Drosophila melanogaster: one gene and its partners. Changing the gene in region 4 together with the main gene of any one other region gives a genetic interaction. Each region holds a gene or a part of one and is shown on either strand. Other genes may lie near its edges.

Region 1 (5,670 bases), on a different chromosome or scaffold from region 4:
TAACTTCATGTCTGATTTGTTCGCTCCGATTGGAGTCCACTTCTGGTATTGTATATTTACTTGACACCTACTAGAAATCGAAGACGTCACTAATTACGCCGCGAATCTTGACGCAGTCGATTTGGATGGAATCTTATTTATGACGCCCGTCTCCTGCGGCGTGAAGCACAATCCAAAATTTGACATGTGCTCATTCCCTTCGGAAGAAACGATCTAATCTCTATATGGACGACCGTGACCACGACCAGGGCTAACTCAGGTAGGTGATAAGGAGGAACTACCATTGCGGACGTATGGTATTTCATGGAATGCAGTTTGACCACCCAAATTAGTGCTATAAAGGAGGCTGTATTCGCAATTGAAAACATGTAACTGAATAGCTAATTCAAATGCAAAAGATATACGCAAAATTTTGCGTAAGGTGTACTACCATGAAAAAATTGAAAAAAAAAGTGCGTAGCAAAACTTTTTCACTAGCTTAGTTTCAGAATCGCTGAAGTGAAAACTGACTATATATATCATACTTCTTATGATATATATATATATACTTATATGATATATCATACTTCTATTGTTTAAAATGATATATATTGTATCAATAAAATTAAATTTCATATGGTTTTAAGTAGACAGTAAAGTGAAATTGACTATAACCTCGACAGAATAGTACTTATTTTAAGTATTACGCCTTTTTACATTTCAAATCGAATTATTTGAAAGAATTAAGTATCGGCGGTCACCCTGTATTTGCAGTGCTATTGCTTTGCTTTCATCTACATACATACATCAGTGCATAGGCACTTGCGTATTATTAATCAGCCGCCCCGTCCACACCGCCCACTGCTCTTTTGTTAATGCATTCGCACAAGGACGATGACACCCACTCAATAATGGACCAGTAAAAGAGAATTGCAGAAAAAGAGAGTTGAAAATTAGGTATAGAAAGGTCGAAAGTTAGCAGGGTAATGCAAAATCCCCCAAAATCACAAAAACTGCCTGCATTTCAACAAAAACAATAACGTAAATACGTAGCATTCGCTGGCAATCAATGCCAAAATGGCTTAAGAGAGCCACCTTAGAGAGGGGCACCCACTCAACGCAAGCGAAGAGAGCACAGGCGAAACAAAGAGCGTAGTCAGAGCAGCACTCACCTTCTTGCGAAGTTTCCCCCGAATGTGACACAGGCGTTTGACGCCATCAAAGCACATTGCCTCCAGACGACCGTTGCCCAGCATCTTGGTCACCTGCGCGTACTCCTGTTGGTCCTCCTTGAAGATCAGCTCACGCTTCTCGAACTCGTTCTCGTTCTTACCACGACGACGATTCTTGCCTCCTTTTCCTTTATTCTTGGGCATTTTGGCTGTTTGCTGTTGTTGCTGTGCAGCTACTTTCGATGTTGTTGCTGTCTGCGGGCTTGTTGGCGACCCTGGAGCGGGAACGGGGTAAAACTGTTACTCAACGACTTCACTGGGTGGGTAGTAATGCAATGAAAACATTCAACCCGAAATAAAGCGACAGAGTTGTTTCAAAACTTACAATTTTGTCAAATGTAAATGTGACAATTTCGCCTCGCTAAAGTGAAAAGGACTAGAGGTGGACGGTTTCGCGGGGAACCAGTATATCGAACTGGTGCTATCGACAGCAATGCAGAGTCTGGCAGCATTCGTTTAAAGTATCGTAATTTAAAATTTCACTCAACTTTTTAGTCATTAGCGATTGAATCTTAAATTATAACATGTACAAATTTTATTTTCTACTTTGTATATTTAAGTTATTTCGCTATCACCATAAGAGGAAGAAATCGATTTACCACCGCTAAAGCTATCGATATCTATCATCATCAGCTATCATTAGTGGTACTCCCATCTGGTTTGTTTATAAGCTTTTTTACGAAAATAAATTGAGGCGGAGGAGACCGAAGTTTTTCCACTTGGCCAAGATGCACCAGGCCTACAGTGTTCACTCGATCCTGAAACAGGGCGTGCAGATAGAGTCAATTGCGGCATATGGTGAGTGGAATTTTCGGTGCACAGCTATTACTCACCGGACGCATTTTTTCAGGCAACCATGTCATCTTGGGCACCCGCAGCGGACAGCTGATCATGTACTCTGTGGACGAGGAGACGGGCGTGGACATGCGGATGTTCAACAAGAACTTCAGCCGGAAACCGATCACCCAAATGGAAGTGATTGCCTCGGAGAACCTGCTCTTCGTACTCACCGACTTACAGGTGCAGGTGTGCGACATTCGGCGGATTGAGAGCAACTTCGCTTTCATGCACAGTGCGCCCGACACGAAGGGATGCACCCTGTTCACCATGGACGTGGACACGCCGAAGTCCACAACCGGACGTGTGGCCACCGTCATACGGGTGTGCTGCGCTATCCGGCGGCGTCTTGTGTTCTTCTTTTGGAAGGAGGACAAGCTTAATTCCCTGGAATTGATCATCGAGCTCAGCGATGTGCCCAGGACACTGTGCTGGGTGGGCCATGCTGTCTGCGTGGGCTTCAAAGACGAATATGTTGTTTACGATGTGAGAAATGCTTTAAAGTCGATTTACTTCGTATTTTAAAGGTCTGCATATCCAATTCTAGATATCAGGAAAAGCACCAAAGAAGCACAACCTCTTCCTTACCTCCTCTAGTATCAGCAGAGATCCCTGCATTTGCCTTATCCGGAACAACATGTTGGGCATCTCTAAGGACAGCTACCTCGTCGTAGTAGATCCGAGTCAGTACAAAGAATCGGATGGAATCAATAACTCAACAGATGTCCGGCCAGCTGCCATGGACAGCAATAGTTCCCTAACTCCTCTGCTCTGGTCAAGTCCGCTTTTAGATCTGGGTACGATACTCACTATTCACTTCAAGCCAATTTCTAAATCACATTATCTTCATTACAGTCTGGGATGAGCCATTCGCTGTGGGTCGTGTCAACAACGCCATCGAGGTGCGCAGCCTAGTGGGCAAGGACACCCTGGTCCAGACCATTCCCGAGCTACAGAAGACGAAATTCCTGGTTCACGCCGACAAGGGAACCATCTTTGCCGCCGCCACCTCCGAGCTTTGGTGCATTCGAATGGTGGAAATCCCTATCCAGCGTCAGCAGTTGCTACAGCAAAAGAAATTCCAACTGGCTATTGAGCTGACGGTGAGTCCGATAAACGAAATCAAAATACGACGACTACAACAAACTTTATGTTCAGCAAATCTCCGATGAACCTGCCGCGGACCGAGCCCAAACCATTCGCCAGATACACATGCTCTATGCGAAAGAGCTGTTTACCAATAAGGAGTTCTCGGCGGCCATGAAGGAGTTTGAAAAGGCGGCTATAGATCCCTACGATGTGATAAGACTGTTCCCAAACTTGGTGCCAGAACCAAAGCCCGGCACCGAAGATGTCACCGTGCCTACGTCCAGTACTCCGGCGCTTGAGGATAGCGACCTGGAGAACGCCTACTTGGCACTGATCGAGTATCTGGCATGGGCCCGACAGCGGGAGGTGGTCAAGCTGCGCGACACTAAAAGTAGTTCAAAGTCCCTGCTGGAGATCATCGATACAACGTTGCTGAAGTGTTACCTGCAGACAAACGACTCTCTGGTGGCACCACTGCTACGCCTAAACCAGTGCCACTTAGAGGAGTCGGAAAAGACGTTGAAGAAGCACAACAAGATCTCTGAACTTATCATCCTCTACCAGATGAAGGGCAAGCACAAGGAGGCCCTTAAACTGCTTCGAGAGCAGGCGAGCATCGAAGGATCTGTGCTGCAGGGTCGCAAGCGTACCATACGCTATCTTCAGGAGCTGGGTGGTGATCATCTGCCGCTGATCTTTGAGTTCGCTGACTGGGTCTTAAACGATAATCCCGAGGAAGGCCTAACCATTTTCACCGACGAACTTATTGAAGTGGAATCCCTGCCGCGCGCCAAAGTTCTTGATTTTTTTATTAGCAAGCACAAAGCACTTGTCATTCCCTATTTGGAGCACGTAATCACTGAATGGAAGGACGGCAACACCCTGCTCCACAATGTGCTCCTCAAGCAGTATCGCGAAAAGGTGCAACGGCTTCTTGCTCAGCAGGAAAAAGGGTGAGAGTCTGTCATTGTACTGGATCAAAATGCTTATACTCACCTGTTTTCTAGAGAGGAAGTTCCCGAACTCATTCCGATGCGAGCCAAGCTCTACAAGATGTTGGAGGAGTCCAACGACTATTCGCCGGATCGCCTCCTAGAGGAATTTCCAACCAATATACTCTTGGAGGAGCGTGCCCTAATCCTGGGCAGGCTCAAAAAGCACGACAACGTCCTGTCCATCTATATTCATGTTCTCGGAGATGTGGCCAAGGCAACGGCCTATGCGGAAGCCCATTACAAAGAGGACAAGCACATATTTCACACGCTCATTAAGTGCATATTAATACCACCAACTCAACCGCTCTATGATGGTGTGCCCTTGCATCCGGATTTCTCGCAAGTGAATCGAGAGGTGGCCCTGGAAATACTTAACACCCACGCCACCAGAATCGATCCATTCGAGATCTTCGAGGTGAAGAATGCATTGAATGCATGACTTATTAGAAATATTTCTCAACCATTTTGGATTTTGCAGCACCTTCCCGATGACATGCCCATGCCCCAGCTGGAGAAATACTTGGAGAAATCTATACGTAAAATGATGGCCGACAAGCACGAGATGCAGATGATGTGCGGCTTCCTGGAGGCAGAGTCCACGCGCCTGGAGAATGCCTTGGAGGAGCAGCGAAACATTAGCTTCGAGTTAAACGAGTCTAGTGTGTGTTCCGAGTGCAAGAAGCGTTTTCAAACCCAGTCCGCCTTCGTGCGCTATCCAAATGGGCACATCGTGCACCTATCCTGCCACGATCGGCTCGCCAGGGCGGCTGCTCAGCAATAAGTGAAATACTCCAATGTGATAACTGATCAAGGTATAAAGTGCGAATTGAGTGTAAATGTCTGTATTATTCTGTTTTTAAATAAGCTTTTTCAGTACTCGTATGTAATGGATATACTGCAATGCTTATACAATATAATATAGTTTGCATTGATTGATTGTAACAATCAACTTGCAGCTAATCATCAACAATTAAAGACAAGCAGAAGTATAGAAAACCGATATTGTACATATTTATTTGACTATATTTACAGGAAACTTGCTTTGCACTGGCGTGGTTTTTAGGCCTCCTCGCTGCCGTCCATGAGGCTGTCGCCGTCCAGGGAATCGTTACAGATGGACAAATCCGACTCGGACTGCGCTCGACTCAACGGCGGTAATGCGCCCGAAAGCGACAGCGAGTGCTTGCTATCCTCGTTGTCCTCCTCCTGCAGGCTGGGCGAGGCTGCACTGCATCCGTTTGTGCGTTCCGTGGACACAGAATGGGCCGCATTGGCCGACACGGATACTTGATTGCCCAATAACGATGTACCTGGCAGTTGAGTTTGCCTTATCAATGCCAGCCGTTGTTGTGTCAGTTCCAAGTGGTGCTTGCGCCACTTGATCCGCCTATTCTGGAACCACACCTTCACCTGAGCCTCCGTTAACTTTAGGGTGTGTGCCAAGTAGAGCCGCTCCGGGCCGACCATGTACTGCTGGCGCTCGAACTCCGCCTCCAGGCACTCCAACTGCTCCGGCGTGAAGATTGTCCGGACGCGCT
Region 2 (4,897 bases), on a different chromosome or scaffold from region 4:
AACAAACTGAGAAATCTTTATTGTTTTCTAACTCACCTGCACTATGCTGTTTACGGAGTAGTATTGACAGTGTTTCGGTGGTGTATATTGGCAGACGCGACTTAAATAGCATCCTTTCTGCACCTCAGGATACTCACATGCCCAAGTGCACTCATCGGTGGTTATATTGTCCCCAACTGGACGTTCCTTTGTGGTAGCAGGTGTGCTAGGAGTGACTATCATGGGTGGTGGGGGAGGAGGTGGTGCCACACTTGAAATATTCGACATGGTATTTAGTTAAATAAATAGACTAAGCGAGTTAACAGACAATAGCCACAGCTGTTTTCGCAGACAAATATTAACAGGGCTGAGTTATCGATAAGCGATATTCTGTGTTCACCTGGTTGCATCTGTTCTACAGTGGGCACAAAGTAAATTAAGCCCACATAAAAATATCAAAATAAGCTTATTTGACTTTTATTGTAAATTGTTCAAGTTTATTCTTTAAATTAAACCAAAGAGCATGAGAATTCATAAAATGAATCTTTGGAAAAAAATAAATTCGAAATATACACAATTTACATATATGTATTACCAAAAACAAGGAGCAATTTTACATGGAATACTATTCATAGTTATAGGATATATCGAGTAACGTTATAACTAAACCAAATTCACGCTCGAATGTTATGCATAAAGAAGTTTTGTGGAGCTCAGCCAATTACAATAGAGTAGCCAATTCGATGGTGCAGGAAATTATGTCTGTAAATTACATTTAAAAAGTTATTCTTTTATTAAATTTACAATCACAAGATTTTTTGTTTGTTTAGAAGATACTCTGATGTTGTATTCTCAATGTTGCTGTTCTGTTGCAAAAGCCAGCAGCGGTTGCGTGCAAAATTTGACTAATACAATGGCAAAAATAGTACTAGGGAGATAGGCGGGCGGTCGGTCAGAAACATGAATTATTAAATACGAGTACACAGAGCATACTTATTCATTGAACGGTTACTTAGGTCGTAGGAAAGTGGGTATACTGGTTAAGCCTTTGCCAGAGGCTCGTTAAGACTCAGCTGATGTTGATCTGAATCTGAACTTTGCATCCTATCAGTTAATTAATTACTATGCTGTTTTGCTGAAATTGTTTTACTTAATCATATAACACCTTCCTCTATCGTCCTTTGTGTTGCTTGCTTCTCATGTTCATTATTATGTTGGAAATATTATTTAATAATATAGATTGTGTAATTATCCATTTTGCGTTGTTGTTACATTAGCACTGACAGTTGTCAGGATTGCCAGGACGATTGTTTTGCGAGCCCAAGGTAATCTGATCGGGGAAATCGTTGATAACTTCAGCCTGTGTGAAAGTACAAAGTTCGATTTAGTATGGAAAACAATATTTAAATAGGATTTCTTACCTCCGCCTCCAACTCTAACGCATTCTTGGCTATAACTTGAAACGCCATCTCCACGTTGATGCCCTCCTTGGCGGACGTTTCGTAGTAGGGTATATCGTTCTTAGATTGGCACCATTGCTGCGCTCGACGCGTGGACACCTGGCGGTTGTCCAAATCCACCTTATTGCCCAACACAACGAAGGGGAAGTGATCGGGATCCCGTGGACTGGCCTGTATGAGGAACTCGTCGCGCCAGGAGTCGAGATTCTTGAACGAGTTGGGCGCCGTCACATCGTAGACAAGCACGCAGCAGTCGGCTCCGCGGTAAAACGCCACTCCAAGCGACTGGAAGCGTTCCTGACCAGCAGTGTCCCAGATCTGTTATTGAAATTTTGCGAGTTATGTCACTGAAATAGGATTACTGGAAGTTCATAGTGCTTACCTGCATTGTGACCACTCGGTCGTTGACCACCACCTCTTTCGTGCAGAAATCAGCTCCGATCGTGGCTTTGTATTGGTTGGAGAAGCGTTTGTTTACATACTGATTCATCAGAGAGGTCTTGCCCACACTGCTGTCGCCCAGAATGATGACTTTCAGTAGGGATTTCTTACGTCCGGACATTTCGATGCAGTTTGTGGCGTTGGCTTACTCGGGGTTATTTCTTTTGGTATTTGGTGCTGAAAACCACAGAATATTATTGATTGTGTGTTAAAAATACCATTGCGGTTTCCTCTAATTCGATTAGGAAGTGTAGGGGTGTGATGGTTTCTTTCCTAAGATAAATGAAAGTGAACTGCGCAAACCTCTAGAGTCTAAACTACATGCCAATGAAAGCCGTAATCTCTGCCAGGACCTGACTGCCTAAGTGCTCGAAGTGCAAGCCATTCGCAGCTGTAAAATGTTTGTAATGACGAGCAGTTGTGCTACGCCGTGCTGGGTGATAAACAAATCGGGTGAGTCACTCTGAGCAATCCGCAGTGTGTGATCGCTGGACTGTGTGAACAGGCGGTCAGTAGGGGAGGGAGGTGCCCGCATCGAGGCGATAAAGCGTGATCACTATTGGCGCAGCGGAGAAAGTGCGCTGAGTACAGACAAAGACGAGGTCGAGCTAATAAAGCGGGTCTGGAATACCAGGAAAAGTGCCTGGGAAAACGCCCATTTCCTCAAAGTCCTCGATGGCAGGGGGAGTCACTATGGTGCAATCGAAAATAGTGCGAAAGTGGACTCTCCAAAGGGAGATAAACTCCCCGCCCCCCTTTTTTAGACCATGAACAACTTGTTTTTGTGCTCCACCATTACAACTACGCCACTAATTGCGTCGGTGTGCGTGGGTCTTTGTTGTGTACGTTTTTCGAGTGTGCGTGTGTATGTTTGATGTGGGGCTCCACTGGCATTTTCCATGCACTTTTCGCCTGCTGCGTAACACTCTTTTTAACGCTTTGCTTTTGCTATTCGCCTAATTCCTTTTGTAGTGGCACTCACTTTGAACACTGGTGAACACTCCAAGAGCTGTTTCTTTGTGGGGCGCTTCGGTTTTACTAAAAAATATTCAATTAATTACGCAGTGAATTTTGTTGTTGTCTCGCTAGGAGAATCGCTCTCATCTCTACTGGTCAGTACTGGTTATCGATAGTGCAGTCGTGTTACAGCTATCGGTAGAAGTTGACTATCTTTAGGCTGTCGTTAGCCAACACTTTTTTGTGGCCAATTAACGAATTGTATCCTATTTTTGTTGAAATTATCACTGAAAAATATTGAACAGCCAGGAAAAACCAAAAGCTGCTAAACGGTGGTCACCTGGGCTTACATAGGAGGCTATAATCGAAATGGCCACGCTTCCGCCGCGTAAGAGTCAGACCCCTACGAGGATCTGCATCTCTAAGCAGCATCTGACGCCGCTCCAAACATTGCTCCAAATGGGGTTTCCCAGGCATAGAGCGTGAGTTTTCTATGCATAGCGTATTGGCAGTCACCAGCTGCTCTAGGTTCCATCCAAGATATAGTGGCTATGCGTGCGAGTGACCCACTATGTTGATTTGTTTCATAGAATCAGAGTATTGATTTTTTTGCTTACCCCTACACAGGGAGAAAGCTTTGGCTTCAACTGGTAATCGTGGTGTCCAGATTGCCTCGGATTGGTTGCTGGCACATGTCAACGATGGCACCCTGGACGAGTGCGCCCCCAGGGAATATATTATATATGCTTGTCCCACGGGTCCGTTTCTGCAGCAGCTGGAGGAGTTCTGGGCCAAGTCGCGCCAAATGTGCGGTTGGAATGGAGCACACAACTACGTGCCTCACATAACCCTGGTTTCGTTTTTTAAAGTGAGCTTAAGTTGGATTATCCAGACTTTATTTATTCACCTAATCGAAATTACAGGCCCCCGATGAGTGCTCGCTGCAGCTGTCCAAGGCGCTCAAACAGGTGGTGGACATGACGGGCGCCTTGTTGGATCGCCCCCTTAAACTGGAGCCCTACATGAGTCAAAACTTCATGGGTTTTTTCGTGGCCGAGGAGGATGCCAACTATCTGAAACGACTGGCCCTGCAGTACGTGAAGGAGGTGTCCAACTCAAGTACGAATTATCCTTCTGTTGGTTGCACTCTCTTTGGGTTGTTTTGGTTTACCTTTCTCACGTTCTGTTCGATTCGGTTGATGGTTTTCCATTTTTCGGAGTGGCTTACACGGTTATGTTGTTCTCCTCTCTTCCTGCACACTTCTGGATAATCTGGGATATGCTGCACAGTCATTAGCGATACCTATGAGCAGTTGGACGCCATTGTGGCCTGCTTTCCCTGGTGCGGTGCTGTCTCCTCGGGCACCCGCTGCATTCCGCGCAGCAGTCGATGTAAGCCATTAGCTAGAGCCATTAGTTTGCATAAAATCGTTTTTGATTCACCCAAAAGTACACTTTCTTATCACTCTATGCATGCTTTAGTTGCACTGGTAGATAAGTTACTAATCTAATCGCCCTTTTGGCGAAATTCAACATGACGCTGCTAATTGTAGTTAATTAGTAGTAACTGTAGATAGCAAGGTGATCGATGTTTTTGGTAGCTACATAGTTAATTTGTTTATACCCCGTTTCATTTGTTTGAAAAATATTTCAGTTTATTATTAAAACCGATTAGTGTCACTATATATACAAAAAATCTTTGATTATTAGAAGACCAGAACTGTAGTTGATAAGCCCGTGACGTTTGGTTTTGCCCAAAGATAACTTTAAGTGACTATAATTCCTTATCGAAAAACATCGATTCACCGTGTTAGATACGAAAGCATATAACCAGCACCGCCTTCATTTCCATTCAGTAATCGTTTGTTCCGCCTAGCGAAAGGCTACTAATAGCTTCTAACTACCTGTAGCCATCTCACTCGAGCCACACGTTAAGAGCCTGCACCTGACGCTTGCCTACCAGTTCCCGCAGGCACAGTTTAATGCACTGAAAGCACTCGTGGAGACCTTAGACGCCAGCTGCGCTTCCAATTGGGAACTTCGTCTATATTCCCGCGATC
Region 3 (7,897 bases), about 19 Mb from region 4:
AGGTTGGACCTTATGGGCTTCGTTTCCACCTTTTTCTGGATTTCCGGCTCGGCTTCTTTCTCCGCCTGATCCTTGAGTAACGCGGAGGTTTCACTTCCTAAACCAGAATCAGACCCACCATCTCTAAGCTCATCCTCTTTCGGTTTGGCTGGCTGGGCAGGCTCCAATGATGCTTGGTTGTTGGACACCACCTCCGCTGATCTGGTGGCCATTTCCGTCTCATTGTTCAACTTCAGCCAAAGAAGTTCTCCACTGGTGTCGACCTCCTCGTTTGTGGTGACCGACGCGGAGTCAAGAATGTTGTCAATTGCCAGTGGGTCCTCGGAGACTGCGTCGGAAGCTATTGAAGAGTTAAGATCCGCATCGCCTAGTACGATTATCTCATTATTAGGATAGTTCTCCAGCTCAAGGAACTGCTCCTCTAGTTCGGTGTCCGCCGGGCCGTGAGCAAAGTCCGCCAGTTCATCATCGAGCTGCTCAAGCGGCATGGGTAGGGAAGCCAACGCCTTGGCTTTCGCTGCGTGCACCTTGCTGGCGTCAATTATGGAGGTTTTGATCTGCCTCTCGATGTCGTCGTCGTCATCGTCCAGGTGGGGAAATATTTGCAGCTGATGCTGCCGCTCCTCCGGTTCGCTCTGATTATCCTTGTGATCCAGATGCCGCTGATCCTTCCTTTCGCCTTCGTCGTGGGCAGTTAGGCTGGTGGTCCCCTCCCTTTGGCCGGCGGCCTTGTTTCCTGATGGGCTAAACATATTGGAGCCGCTCGCATTTTTTTGTATGTACGTAAATATTTTTTTTATAGGACTAAACATGCTATCCGTGTCGAGGTCCCTAGATCATTGAGTGTCCTTTGGTCATCTGCAAGAAAGTAGGAGGAAATGGTTTTACATAATGTTGCTTGGAAATTTCCTTCGCAGGTAGCGAAAACGTATAGATCAGGTGTGTATGTACAGTGTCCATTCGAGAGGGAGAACTGCCGGGAATGCGAAACTTTATTTCTGAGTAAATTAATTACACCTGTTTACGTTTCGTAAGAGCCCCTGACCAGGTCCTAGATCCAACAAACAAATTGCCAAAAGCCTAATGAGTGTACCTTTTACAACTTGTGTAAATATTTAGAAATATTAATTTAGCTCAAGTATTAATTTTACTGCTCGCAAGAAATCAATTGTTTTCTGTGTACGTGTAATGGTTTAAAAATATATATCTTTCGCTTTAATGTTCCGCTCACTTGTATGTTCGCTTTTTCGAATGAGCACTGTGCTTGGATGGGTGTGCGTGTGCAGAATCCTTTGAAATCCTGGATCCCCGAGAATTTCGCACGCTAGAAAGGAGACCACCCGAAAAGTAGACATACCGCTAACCAAAATCAATATTGATTAGCTTCTTTTTTTGGGGGCCCACCTTTGCGCTTATATTTTCGCAGCCAAGCCAACGGCCGGACTCGCAAGATCGGTGGGATTTATCCTTTTTGCAATTTGCGTTGCAGCTGCGATAAAAAACTGAGAGCGAGAGAGATGACGAAAGACGCAACTGTGTGCGTGTGTTTGTGCAAGTCTGTGCGAGTGTGTGCGTGAAGGAGGCGAATCAGGACACAAAGGTCGGTATTCTTTTATTAACACAATCACTTTACTATGCGCCTGGCAACGCCCAAAATTATGATTTATTTTTTAAAACTCATTTCGCACTTCCGTAAACTTTTTCTTAATTTTTCACTTCTTCTTTTCTCGCAATGTTATTACTTCTTCTATTCAGTGTGCCCGTCGCTGGACCCCTGCAACATGACAACAGTCCTGCACCGATCCAAATGTACTTAAAAATACCAGGCAAAAATTGATAAAAGTGTATACGATAGAGCGTGATAGATAAATGTGACTCACTAGTAGATGGTGCGTGTATTTGCTAAGAAATAATTCAGAAGAAAAATTAAAACAAATTCACCAATGGAGCCGGTTCCTGCAAGCTCATTGATTACATAAATTCATAGTAAGACAATTATTATGTAAAATATACCCGTTTTACGATTCATTAGTTGACTCGTGCAGCAAAGAAATATGTTTTGTATATTCACGGTAAGAAATGTTTATATTAAAATTTTATTTATATTGTGTAATATGTTGGTCCCACTAATCGATAGAAATATGTATCGTTGGTTGGAGCCTCTGCTAACGAGCAGAGCTTAGGATATGTTTGGCATATTCCAACAGTCGTCCTGCGGTCACACATAAAATTCCAAGAAAGTTGTAAGTTAAGTTTACTAATAAACCAGGCGATAATTTCGCTAGCCATTAGCAAGGCAAGGAAGCTAAAAAAGACAAAAATCTTTGGCAAATCAATGGTGACGTCGCCCAGGAAGTTAATCGACAAAAACACGACCTGCGACGCGACGATAATTTTGCGAGAGGCGAGTCAGTCGCTATCTATCTCCCTCTGCGCTCGTTTCGTTTCGTTTCTTGGGGCTGTTTTGGGGCACACAATTGAAAGGAAAAAACGTAAATGCAAATGGTCAACTGGTCTCCAAGTGCCGCGTTTAGAAGAGTGCGTAATTCGGCGGAAAGTCGAGTGCTTTTGCGTTGTTGTTTTCGCTCACCCCTCGTAATTAATTAAGAAAGTTGTGTAAAATTTTTTCGCCCCGTCCGCCATAGTGCGAGTGTAAGAGCGAGCGCGATAGATGGCCCTGAATTTTGGGTGCGTTGCCCATGAGAGTGGGCGCTAGAGCGAGACGGCCGTACGACCTGCTCCAAGTGCAGCGTGCACAGTGGGTCGCAAGGCCTAAGATAGTTCACGAATCTAATTGTGAAGAGATAAAGAACACTGCAGGTGCACTCTGGTATGGAGTAAAGCTGGCAAAATCGGATCTTGGCCCGCATTATCACCCAATTTATCAGCGCTTTACACGCCAAAACGGATCAAAAATCGCGGTTCTTTGTTCCGCCTGTTTTGCGTCTTTAGTTATGAGAGAGAGTGTGGGTGTGTGGTGTGTGTGTATTTATCGGCAATCCGTTCCCTTATCGTGCAAGTTTCTCAAAGAACTGTCTTTGTCTCTGATGTTTCTATAAAGCCCAAATGTAAACAAAAACGCATCCTTCTATTTGTTTATTCTAGACCTTTTCGCTCGCTTTGCAAATGGAAGACCCGCATTTGTCAAGCTATACATATTTACGGAGTGATGTGTGGTGTGACAGTAAATATAACGCTAATTGTATTCTCCGTTTTCTAGACGTGCTTCAAATATGCGTGCTGAGAAAATTGCACTTGTTGACTTTTCGAGTGAGGCAATTCCACAGTCAAGCTCACGTGAATAGGGCCATGTTGATATAATGAAAATGTTTTAAGTTTCCAAAGGTGGATTTAAAACTTAATTCATGCTTAAAATTAAGCACAAGCTATGTGGACGTTCTTCTTTATTTCATATTTATATTAAATATCTTTAAAATCTAACATAAGATTTGTAACTTAATTCCACGTATTACAGCTATTTGATTGATAAAGGCTGTGGCTACGTATGGTTGTTGTTCTCGCTCTCATTCTCTTTTTTGATTCACTTGCATTTGTATTAGTCGCGTGAATGACGCATCGTCAGCTGTTCTAAAAGAACCGTAATTTCCTGAACGTTGTTTTATATTTTATTGAATTTTCCGCAGACGGGCGCGAAAGTCACTCCTGTTGTCCAAGTGACTTTAAAGTTTAATAAACCGCATTAATTACGGTTCGAATTAAAATTAGCGGTGAGTTATTTACTGACAGCTGTCCGCTTCTCAAGGAAAATTTTGCATTGGCTTAGTGAGACACACTGCTTGTTTTAATTAAATTTAAAGTGCAGTTTTCGTTTTGGCTTAGACGCAAAAAACAGCAAAATACGTCATTCGCTGGATAATGAAAAGTAATTGTAGGCGAAATTTCTTTATCGCAATGAGAGTGCGGTTTTCGAAAAGAGAGACCAAGTTGTCGGCTTCTGTATGTGTGTGTGACTGTGCACTTGGCTCCAAAGTCTCCGGGAAAAAAACAATTGAATGATCGGAAGGGAGGGGGAGAAACAAACAATTGTTGACTGACTGCATTTTTAATGGCAAAGAGAGGGCCTGCATATTTCGCTCTCTCCCTCATTCCTTGTTAATTTAATAACGCCGCACAGCGTACATGTTTGTCACGCTTTTACTTTCTCCACGTCTCCCCGTTAATTTATTTTGCATTGATTTTTATCACAGCTTCCGCCCTCACTCTGTGAATTCTCTTCGCTCTGCGCTCACTTCTCTCCACAAAGTAAACAAGACTCGTGTAGAATTCCATACCCCGATCTTCGTAGATTTATCTCCACTGTACAGTCTGGCTTCAATGTGTTAATTAATTTCTGTCGGAATTCTGAGATTCCCGTCGTCGGTCATAAAAACGAAAAGCATGTGAACGATACTTTGTGAAGATTTGAAAACGACTTTAGCTTAGTTAATATATGCAACAGTAAATATTTTTAAACAATTTTAATGATTACTCTCTGTTTAAAACGATATCTTGTTTCGGGATCAACGTATCTGTGGGACATCGGTAAAAGTGTAGTGGCCAATGGGGCGTATGATTCATAAAAGTGGCACTGATAACAAAAATACTGTGAATGCCACACGCATTACCGCTGAATAATGCGAGGCGTCCTCTGTGTTATGTACTATTATACACATATGTACACAAATTCACCCGCCCTCGAAATATTTTCCACCAGAAAGTGTGTGAATTATCAATTGCGCGGTAGCCCCTAGAGGAGCTGCAATAAATATCTTTTACGATAACTTAGATTTCCCGCACAAGGGACCGATAAGAATGTTGTAGTTTCGATTACTTGTAAACCCCTTATCTGCCACGAAGAAAGGGAAAAACAATAATTGCGCCTAGAAAGCGCATATAAGGTTTCCCCTTTGTGTTTGCCAAAGTATTTTTAGTTGTTGATGGATTTGTATTTGCACATGTAATTAAGAATGTTTGTGTTTGTGGATGTTTGAAGCAGTCACGCAAGGAATTTTCTAAACACAACTCATAACATTGAACATCTAATCGTGGAACAATTGCTTTCACTGATTTTCCTATCACAAGCTTATCAGTACTATTATGTTGCCAAGTGACACAAATAGTAATGATATGTTTTCGGATGTGTAACACTTATAAATATAAATATAAATAAACTAATATAAGCTCTAATGTGAGTTTTTGTAGGGCGTACTGCTTTCAATTTCAATTGAATTTATCAGTGACCATTGGCAGACGCTTCCCTTTTCCTCTGTTTCATTTACTGATGGAAAACGTCGGCTTTTTGTGCATATTCTCGGATATGTACATATTGAACTGGGCTTGTCGACGGCGTCATTAAACAAACAAAGGCGCCACACAATCATCTGATGGTTTTATGTGGGTTTTATATTCATCCACATGGGCAGCATGTTTTCAAGGGGACTGAGTTTAAGCCCTAAAAACGTACCATTATGGCAGAAGAATTGGAAGCACTCAATTTCGTTTTTATCCGTCTCCATTATAAATATGTACATTATTTGTATTTTGCAGATTCCGCATCCACACTCAGCAGCAATCTTAGCAGAAAGACTTACTCAGCAGAAGAGGGAGTGAGTTGCAGTAACCGTCCGTAGAACCAAATATCAGTTGCCATCTCAGAGGAGGAAGAGCGCATCCACATTCGCATCCGATCCAACCCGAACCGATCATGGCAACCACTCCACGCAGCGGCGGTGCCAGCGGCACTGGAACGGCGCAGCGGCCCAATGGCACCTCGCAGAACAAAAGCTGCCAATTCAAGTTGGTGCTCCTCGGCGAGTCCGCTGTGGGCAAGTCCTCACTGGTGCTGCGCTTCGTCAAGGGACAGTTCCACGAGTACCAGGAGAGCACGATAGGTGCGGCCTTTCTGACACAGACTATTTGCATAGAGGACACTGTCGTTAAGTTCGAGATCTGGGACACGGCTGGCCAGGAGCGGTAAGTATCGCTGGATAGATCACCCAACTGAAAGCTTCATCTGACATACTTATATTCGCTTTTGTAGGTACCACAGCTTAGCTCCCATGTATTATCGAGGAGCGCAGGCCGCTATTGTCGTCTATGATATACAGAATCAGGACAGTTTTCAGCGTGCGAAGACCTGGGTCAAGGAACTGCATAAACAAGTGAGTGTCAGCGGGGAAACTTGAATATCGTGCAGAGTGTTTTAATATTATAATCATTTATATTATTGCTCATGAAGTGCCTCAGTTCAATATTCTTAACTCGAGAAATTCGTTCACTTGATACGTAAATTATATTACATAAAATATGTATTAATAAAACTTTTTTCCAGGCCTCACCAAACATTGTCATTGCGCTGGCCGGCAACAAGGCAGATTTGTCAAACATTCGCGTCGTAGAGTTCGATGAAGCGAAGCAATATGCCGAGGAGAACGGGCTGCTGTTCATGGAAACCTCCGCCAAGACGGGCATGAATGTGAACGACATCTTCTTGGCCATTGGTAAGCTATAAGGAGCCGTCGTAAACGCTTCGAAAACTTTGCTAATCACTACCCCAACCACAGCCAAGAAACTACCTAAGAACGATGGCGCCAACAATCAGGGAACCAGCATAAGGCCGACTGGAACCGAAACAAATCGACCGACGAACAACTGCTGCAAGTGATGTCCCTTCGTAGGTAAGTTAATTGCGTTGGAAATACGGTTGCATTACTAACACAGTTTTTTTTTGGCTTTACAGAAAATGAAATTTCCAACGAGAGATTTGAAAAGTTTATGCTGATAATTATAAATAAAAAAATTATTTAAAAATTCAACAGAATCAGAAAGAAATACCTAAAGCCGGCTCTCGCAGGGGACGAATTTCATTTGAGAGCCACGAAACCAATAATGATAAAGACCACATAAGAATTATAAGCATTAAACAAAGGAGCTCCCATTCCCAACATAAACGAAAGTTGCAATTAAAGAAAGTTAGTTACAAATTCCCACACCCGATTTCCCCCATTACGCTCGATATCTGTCCAAAAAATATACAAGCAAACTGACACTCACGCAATTGAGCTAAAATATCAGTATAATTCCAACATAAACCATTTCAAATAACAACGCAAATTAATAATGAAAACTAAACATGAGAAGAAAGCGCAGGGTTTTTGGAGATTTCATCGTGTCGTAGAAAGTTTGAAATCGTATTGTATAAAAAAAAGAGAGAAACCCCGAAACCAACTAAGCGAGCAAAGAATATTTGTAAAGATTACATGTCGTGTAAGATTCTGAGCATTAAGTAAGGGGCAGATTCCAGTTGCAGTTGTTCTCAGCAGCGTTCCAAATAAAACAAACAAAACAAACAAACACCACAAGGAGCAAATGTTCAGGCCAGCGGCTGAAGATCCTCGCTCGCCTCGGTTTGTGGCAATGTGTGTGTCTCTACGGCTCCGGAGCTCGGACTCCAGATCCGGATACGGACGCGGATGATTCGACTCCGGGTCGCGGCGGACACGTGTGATAGTTGCAATTTATATAAATTATATATACACATATGAAAATGAAGGAAAACGAAAACCACAAAAAAAAAAAGAAAACCAATTATGCATACTTTTAGATTTTTTTATTTTTCAATTTCGCCTTGCGTTGAACTATTTTCCACATTCTAGCAACAATCGAAGATTTAATGCTACTATCTTTAAACGTAAACGAGAACGGAGATACTATCGTAATCCATAAAAATTAAACTTACATCTAGTATGCAATTAAGCGGAGAGGAAGTAAAGTGAATTAAAATAAATAAATAAAACAAATCGAACAACACAATACCGTAAACAACTTGTTTAAATCGTTCCACAAACATCAAAGATCCGATGCATATTTCTTTCCAATTCGTAATTTTTATGTTGTC
Region 4 (4,620 bases):
CCAGCGAAAGCGTCGCTTTGATAGCTCCGCTCGCACTCTGGCTCTTGATATTATCCTGTCCCTCCGGCCAACTCAGGAGCAATTGGGCAACTTCTTGGATTACCTAGCCTCCAATGATCGCCAGTTTGAGATCAAAACATACGTGCTGCAGAAGCTAAGAATGCTGGCTGAGAAGTGCCCGCGATTTAGGGCTTTGTTCAAATCGGAGCTTGTCAAGCGGAGGCATGTAAACAACTACAATGTGCTGGGACAAAAGGGTGAGTACCTAATTTCCTAATGACACTGTTCAAACAATTATGAACTTTAATACTTACAGGTCTTACGACAGTCCTCACCCGTCAGCTTTCCCAGGCTCCAGCCTTCAACGAAACCCTGCTAAGTACCCAGGAAGTGTATCAGGGAATCCTGAAACGTGGCTCCGTGGAATTTCTGCTCCACGCAGGCCGTTCCCAAGCCAGCAGCTTTAAATTGGGCATCTACACTGCCGGCTTGGGCTCGCTGGTAGGCGATGGTGACTCCGGCGATGGAAATGATGCAATCCCGGCGGATGATGAGTTCAGCGAAGACGAAGCGGTCACCGCGGGCATGGAGATCAGTGTGCAGGGTGCTCAATTGCGACCCCTAGTATTCTTCAGCGGTCAGACCGAGCTAATGGGTCACGTGTGGGGAGGAAGTGCCTCGGACTCAACGCCCGCTTACCAGGCAACCACTTTGTCCCAGGATAACGAGCACTACATAATCCTGACCTCCGGGGCGACGCTCCACTGGCGAGTTCTGGGCGCCAGGAGTGTGGATCTCAATGGCAAGGTGGGATTCAGCCTGTGGAATCGAAATGCCCAGACGGAAATCCAGCAGAAGTAAGTGAAAAAGCCAAAGCATTTGATTGGAATGTTATTTAACTCACGATTAACTTTTGGCTTATAGCACTGGCAGCGCTGTTCTTGGTCATTTGGCCGTTGGCTTTACGTATGCGAAATTAGTGCAGGATTTCAGCATCACCCACGAACCAAAGTTGAGTCTGAATGCGGACTTGGACTTCTACAGCGGCATTAAATTGTGCATGCAACTCCAGCGACCTGAACAGCTTCTCAAGTAAGTTTGCTAGAACTATTTTAATGACTCACATGCTAATTGAAAGCCTCCTTCACAGACAAACCAACGTTCGTTCGGTTTTCCTGCAGTCTGTTGATCGTCCTTATGCCAAACATGTGCGCTCTACACTCTCCCACAAAACTGCCGGCTGCACTTTTGCCCTCAACCAAAAAAACAACGAAATGTGCAACCTCATTTTTAGGGACTTGTAGATTCTACTCAAGAGATTATTGGAGATTCCTTGCATAAAAACTATATTTCTATGTGAAAACTCAGAGATTAAGACTCGATATAGTTGTAAACTTAAACGAACAAAGACCATTTAATTTTCAAATGCAACAAGTTTTTAATATCTTTTGAGCAACTCGAAAATTACTGGAAAAGTGGAAATGTGCATTTTTTCTCGATTCACAATAGTCACACCTTAGATTTAAAAATCCCGCCCAAGTGCTGCGAAACGCGAAAGGGGACTTATCGAGCTATCGATTGCAAGAGCTACGCATTCCCATCCCTAAATTCCGCAGTACATTCAAACACTACTACGTTGTGCTTCTTCTTCAAACGCGGCATAAAAGAGGTGCACTCCACAAGCACGAAAAGAAAATAACTACTGCAAAAATATCGTCGAACGCACGAGTCATATTAAATAAAGGTTAATAGAAGCAGGCATCGGAAAAGCTTGATTCCGGAGAAGTGAAACAAATTAGGCCACCGAATGGTGCTCTTCTTCTTTTTGTCGGAATTAGAAGGCTCGTCGCACACACACAGTCGCAAACAAATGCGAAATCAAAAGCGTCATCCGATTGTCTAAAGTAAATACTTCTATTTGCAAGCTGAAAGGCGCGACAAATTAAATAGTTCAAACTTAATAAATCGATATTTGTGTCACCAATTTGCGCGTTTAAATCAAGTGCTAAGCAATGTACTAAAATTAACAATTCCCTTGCCTTTTAAACTCATACAAACACAATTGGAGCGAGAAAGAGATGGGAAAGAAGAAGAATTGTTGTTGTTGACGTGTTCTGTTTGTGCTCATGTGTGCGTGTTCGGGAATTTCTGTTGCGTGAAGTTGCAATACCAAAAAAACCACGTGTGAAATGTTCTGCAATTTTTGTAATTTATTCTGCTGAATTGTTATCACTTTTTAAGAAAACAATCTGTAAGAGGCGTTTGCCTTGGCATCTTATTGGCACAACATTTTAACGCAAATTACTACTCCGTACGAAAGCATTAAGAATCATAAATAAATAAAAAACGAGATCTGAAATCTGAAATATGTATATTGAAGAAAGATCTAGAATATCCAAAACCAGGGGCACAGATGGTGACTATTTTTGTGAACTGCATTGTGATAGGGGTACCTTTTTACCACACACACTTGCGCACTTGCTGCTCTCTCCCTATTCTCCCACTTTTTATAACGGTATCACGCACCCTGCTTATCGGCATTGTGAAAATTTTGTTTGGCTTTAAAGAAATTTCCATTCATAATAATTTTGTGTATTTCAAAAGTTGGTTTATTTGCAAAAATATGTATAAATTCATTTGCTAACATTAGTTTTTTACTTGTATGGTTTGGGTGATGCTCTCTCAAACTTCTTTAAGTCTCACTCGTCCGACATCCAACCGCACAGTGGGAAAGTTCTTAATCCTTTCTGCCATTATTTCAGTGCTTAAAACAGGATTTTTTGTGTGAAAAATCCGAATTCACTGATATAAATACACTAAATTGTTGTTATGTTATGTTTTAGTAAAGTTGGAATTAGCTTGATAAAATCATGATTTTATTATTCTTTAGTTTTTTAATAATGAGATTTTGTAAATTGTTCCTAAACAATAAACAATAATAACTAAAAAAAAAAAACAGTATTTCATGCATACCACTGCACATTAATCCCACTGTTCGTCAAACGTTGGAGAGCGAGCAACGACGAGAGGTTCGCAACCGAAGCAGCAAACGAAAGTCTATTTAAGCAACCCGCAAAAGGCGCTCTTTCGTATTGCCCGATAATTTTTCGACCGCGCTGCTTGTGTTTTCGGTTCCCGCTGAAACAAACATAAAAAAAAGAATATAAAAAATATATATAAAAAAAAATGGATGTAGGGCGAAAATAGTTAAACCACTTTAAATATACGAAATACGCGAATTTCGGAAACTAGAAAATCCATCTTTTAAGGTAGTTTATTTATCCATCTCGCTTTTTCACTCTCCTCTGTGTGCGTGCGTGAGTGTGTGTGTAAAGGCCAAATAGTGCCCTTCGCCTCCCCGGCCACGCCCCCTTGGGCAGAGTAATAAAATGGGAAAGAGAATATATATCTTGCTCCTTTAGAATTTACCTGTGAAAGTGAAAACGTGACAACACGATAAAACGGACGAAGCAAGCAAAACAAAAAACGAGTGCATAAAAACAACGAAGGAGGATAAGAAAAAGAACAAGTGCAGCAAATCAGAAAAAAGAGAACGGAACAAGAACACAGAAAAAAAGTAAAAATAACCAACGAAGAAGGGCAAGGAAAACAAGAACAAAAACATCAGATATTGACAGGTAATAGCAGTCACTCTCCCATCCCTTTTTTTATCGCTCTCTACCCAAGAGAATTTCGAATTTAGTTGCACTATCACCATTTCTATGATTCATTTGTTATTTTGATAATAAATTGCAATTCACGTGGACTAAAGGGTTCAATCATGATATGATTGTTCTTTGTGATTCATTGTGATCATACATTTTATTCAAATTTGTTTTTGCTGAGATCCAACAAAATTGTATAAGTCTTAAAATGCCGTTTTTTAACTTTCATGTGCTCTTTATACCTACATAACTGATTAGATAGACGTTATTTTTCGTTCAACCTTGCACAATTTATGACGGCAGCAAACCACGTTATTCCATGTTGATAGCGAGAAAGAAGTTCAACTTTTTAATGCTGTTTAGTTAGGCATTAAAAATGTTGTAAAAAGCGAGTTCCGTTTTGTTCTTAAATTTACGGTGGATTATGTTGGTCGTTGGCTTTTTTTTTGTCCCATATTTTATGTTTATAGCCTAAATATAAGTTTATTATAAGTTTAATATAAATTTATGGTATATGTAGTGATTTTATACTTTAGTTTGGAATTTATGTGGACTTATGCACAAGTTCAACAGCTACAAATGTGTAACTTCAAAAAACCCCTTCCGTATTTCCCCCAAATAAACATTTTATGTCTTATATCTTCCTAATCATGACTCATCAATAGATAAATATTTTTTGGGTTTGGCAATCTCCGATTGCAAAATAGACGACCTTTGGAGTTATTAATTATAACTCTGTTTGTACTTCAAACATTTGTTTAAGCGATAAATATTCCTCATTGGGTCATATAATTTGTTTAATCTATAACTATAAATACAGTCCTGCTGGCTGAGTTTCAACGAAAAGGCAATGCAATCAGCAAACATTTGCCAAAAATTAAATTTCTCTGCTTGGTTATCTTATCTGCGGGCCAGAGAGCCGCATAAAGGAACACTAAATCGGCAAAACATGAGC

What was found.
Region 1: of sky (region 4) and Vps39, changing one suppresses a phenotype caused by changing the other (phenotypic suppression), as found in Drosophila melanogaster (one study listed by BioGRID).
Region 2: of sky (region 4) and Rab7, changing one suppresses a phenotype caused by changing the other (phenotypic suppression), as found in Drosophila melanogaster (one study listed by BioGRID).
Region 3: of sky (region 4) and Rab5, changing one enhances a phenotype caused by changing the other (phenotypic enhancement), as found in Drosophila melanogaster (one study listed by BioGRID).

The regions. Positions count from the first base shown.
Region 1 is NT_033777.3:18,270,623-18,276,292, reverse strand, and holds Vps39 (vacuolar protein sorting 39), read left to right. Parts: upstream 1-1,846; 5' UTR 1,847-1,939; coding exon 1,940-2,009; intron 2,010-2,061; coding exon 2,062-2,534; intron 2,535-2,595; coding exon 2,596-2,845; intron 2,846-2,903; coding exon 2,904-3,151; intron 3,152-3,206; coding exon 3,207-4,090; intron 4,091-4,144; coding exon 4,145-4,547; intron 4,548-4,610; coding exon 4,611-4,913; 3' UTR 4,914-5,104; downstream 5,105-5,670. Other genes in the region: eIF1A (eukaryotic translation initiation factor 1A), read right to left, coding at 1,152-1,355; CG18599 (uncharacterized protein), read right to left, coding at 5,192-5,670. UniProt on the Drosophila melanogaster protein: Part of the homotypic fusion and vacuole protein sorting (HOPS) tethering complex involved in endo-lysosomal vesicle trafficking and lysosome biogenesis.
Region 2 is NT_033777.3:23,991,106-23,996,002, reverse strand, and holds Rab7 (Rab7), read right to left. Parts: upstream 2,996-4,897; 5' UTR 2,863-2,995; intron 2,825-2,862; exon of another isoform or gene 2,727-2,824; intron 2,271-2,726; exon of another isoform or gene 2,184-2,270; intron 2,058-2,183; 5' UTR 2,002-2,057; coding exon 1,822-2,001; intron 1,758-1,821; coding exon 1,401-1,757; intron 1,340-1,400; coding exon 1,253-1,339; 3' UTR 551-1,252; downstream 1-550. Other genes in the region: CG33108 (uncharacterized protein), read right to left, coding at 37-267; Epp (ecdysteroid phosphate phosphatase), read left to right, coding at 3,207-3,319, 3,465-3,705, 3,761-3,956, 4,128-4,229, 4,748-4,897. UniProt on the Drosophila melanogaster protein: Small GTPase which cycles between active GTP-bound and inactive GDP-bound states. In its active state, binds to a variety of effector proteins playing a key role in the regulation of endo-lysosomal trafficking.
Region 3 is NT_033779.5:2,359,236-2,367,132, reverse strand, and holds Rab5 (Rab5), read left to right. Parts: upstream 1-1,859; 5' UTR 1,860-2,072; intron 2,073-2,178; exon of another isoform or gene 2,179-2,296; intron 2,297-2,411; exon of another isoform or gene 2,412-2,820; intron 2,821-3,628; exon of another isoform or gene 3,629-3,728; intron 3,729-4,351; exon of another isoform or gene 4,352-4,458; intron 4,459-5,277; exon of another isoform or gene 5,278-5,394; intron 5,395-5,547; 5' UTR 5,548-5,704; coding exon 5,705-5,973; intron 5,974-6,040; coding exon 6,041-6,161; intron 6,162-6,331; coding exon 6,332-6,500; intron 6,501-6,563; coding exon 6,564-6,664; 3' UTR 6,665-6,677; intron 6,678-6,739; 3' UTR 6,740-7,567; downstream 7,568-7,897. Other genes in the region: Axud1 (AXIN1 up-regulated 1), read right to left, coding at 1-812.
Region 4 is NT_033779.5:20,915,923-20,920,542, reverse strand, and holds the start of sky (skywalker), read left to right. Parts: upstream 1-1,611; 5' UTR 1,612-1,744; exon of another isoform or gene 1,745-1,904; intron 1,905-3,081; exon of another isoform or gene 3,082-3,400; 5' UTR 3,401-3,638; intron 3,639-4,620. Other genes in the region: Mtp (microsomal triacylglycerol transfer protein), read left to right, coding at 1-257, 317-857, 925-1,092, 1,151-1,304. UniProt on the Drosophila melanogaster protein: GTPase-activating protein (GAP) for Rab35 which regulates synaptic vesicle (SV) protein recycling and turnover at the neuromuscular junction boutons and possibly ventral nerve cord via endosomal trafficking.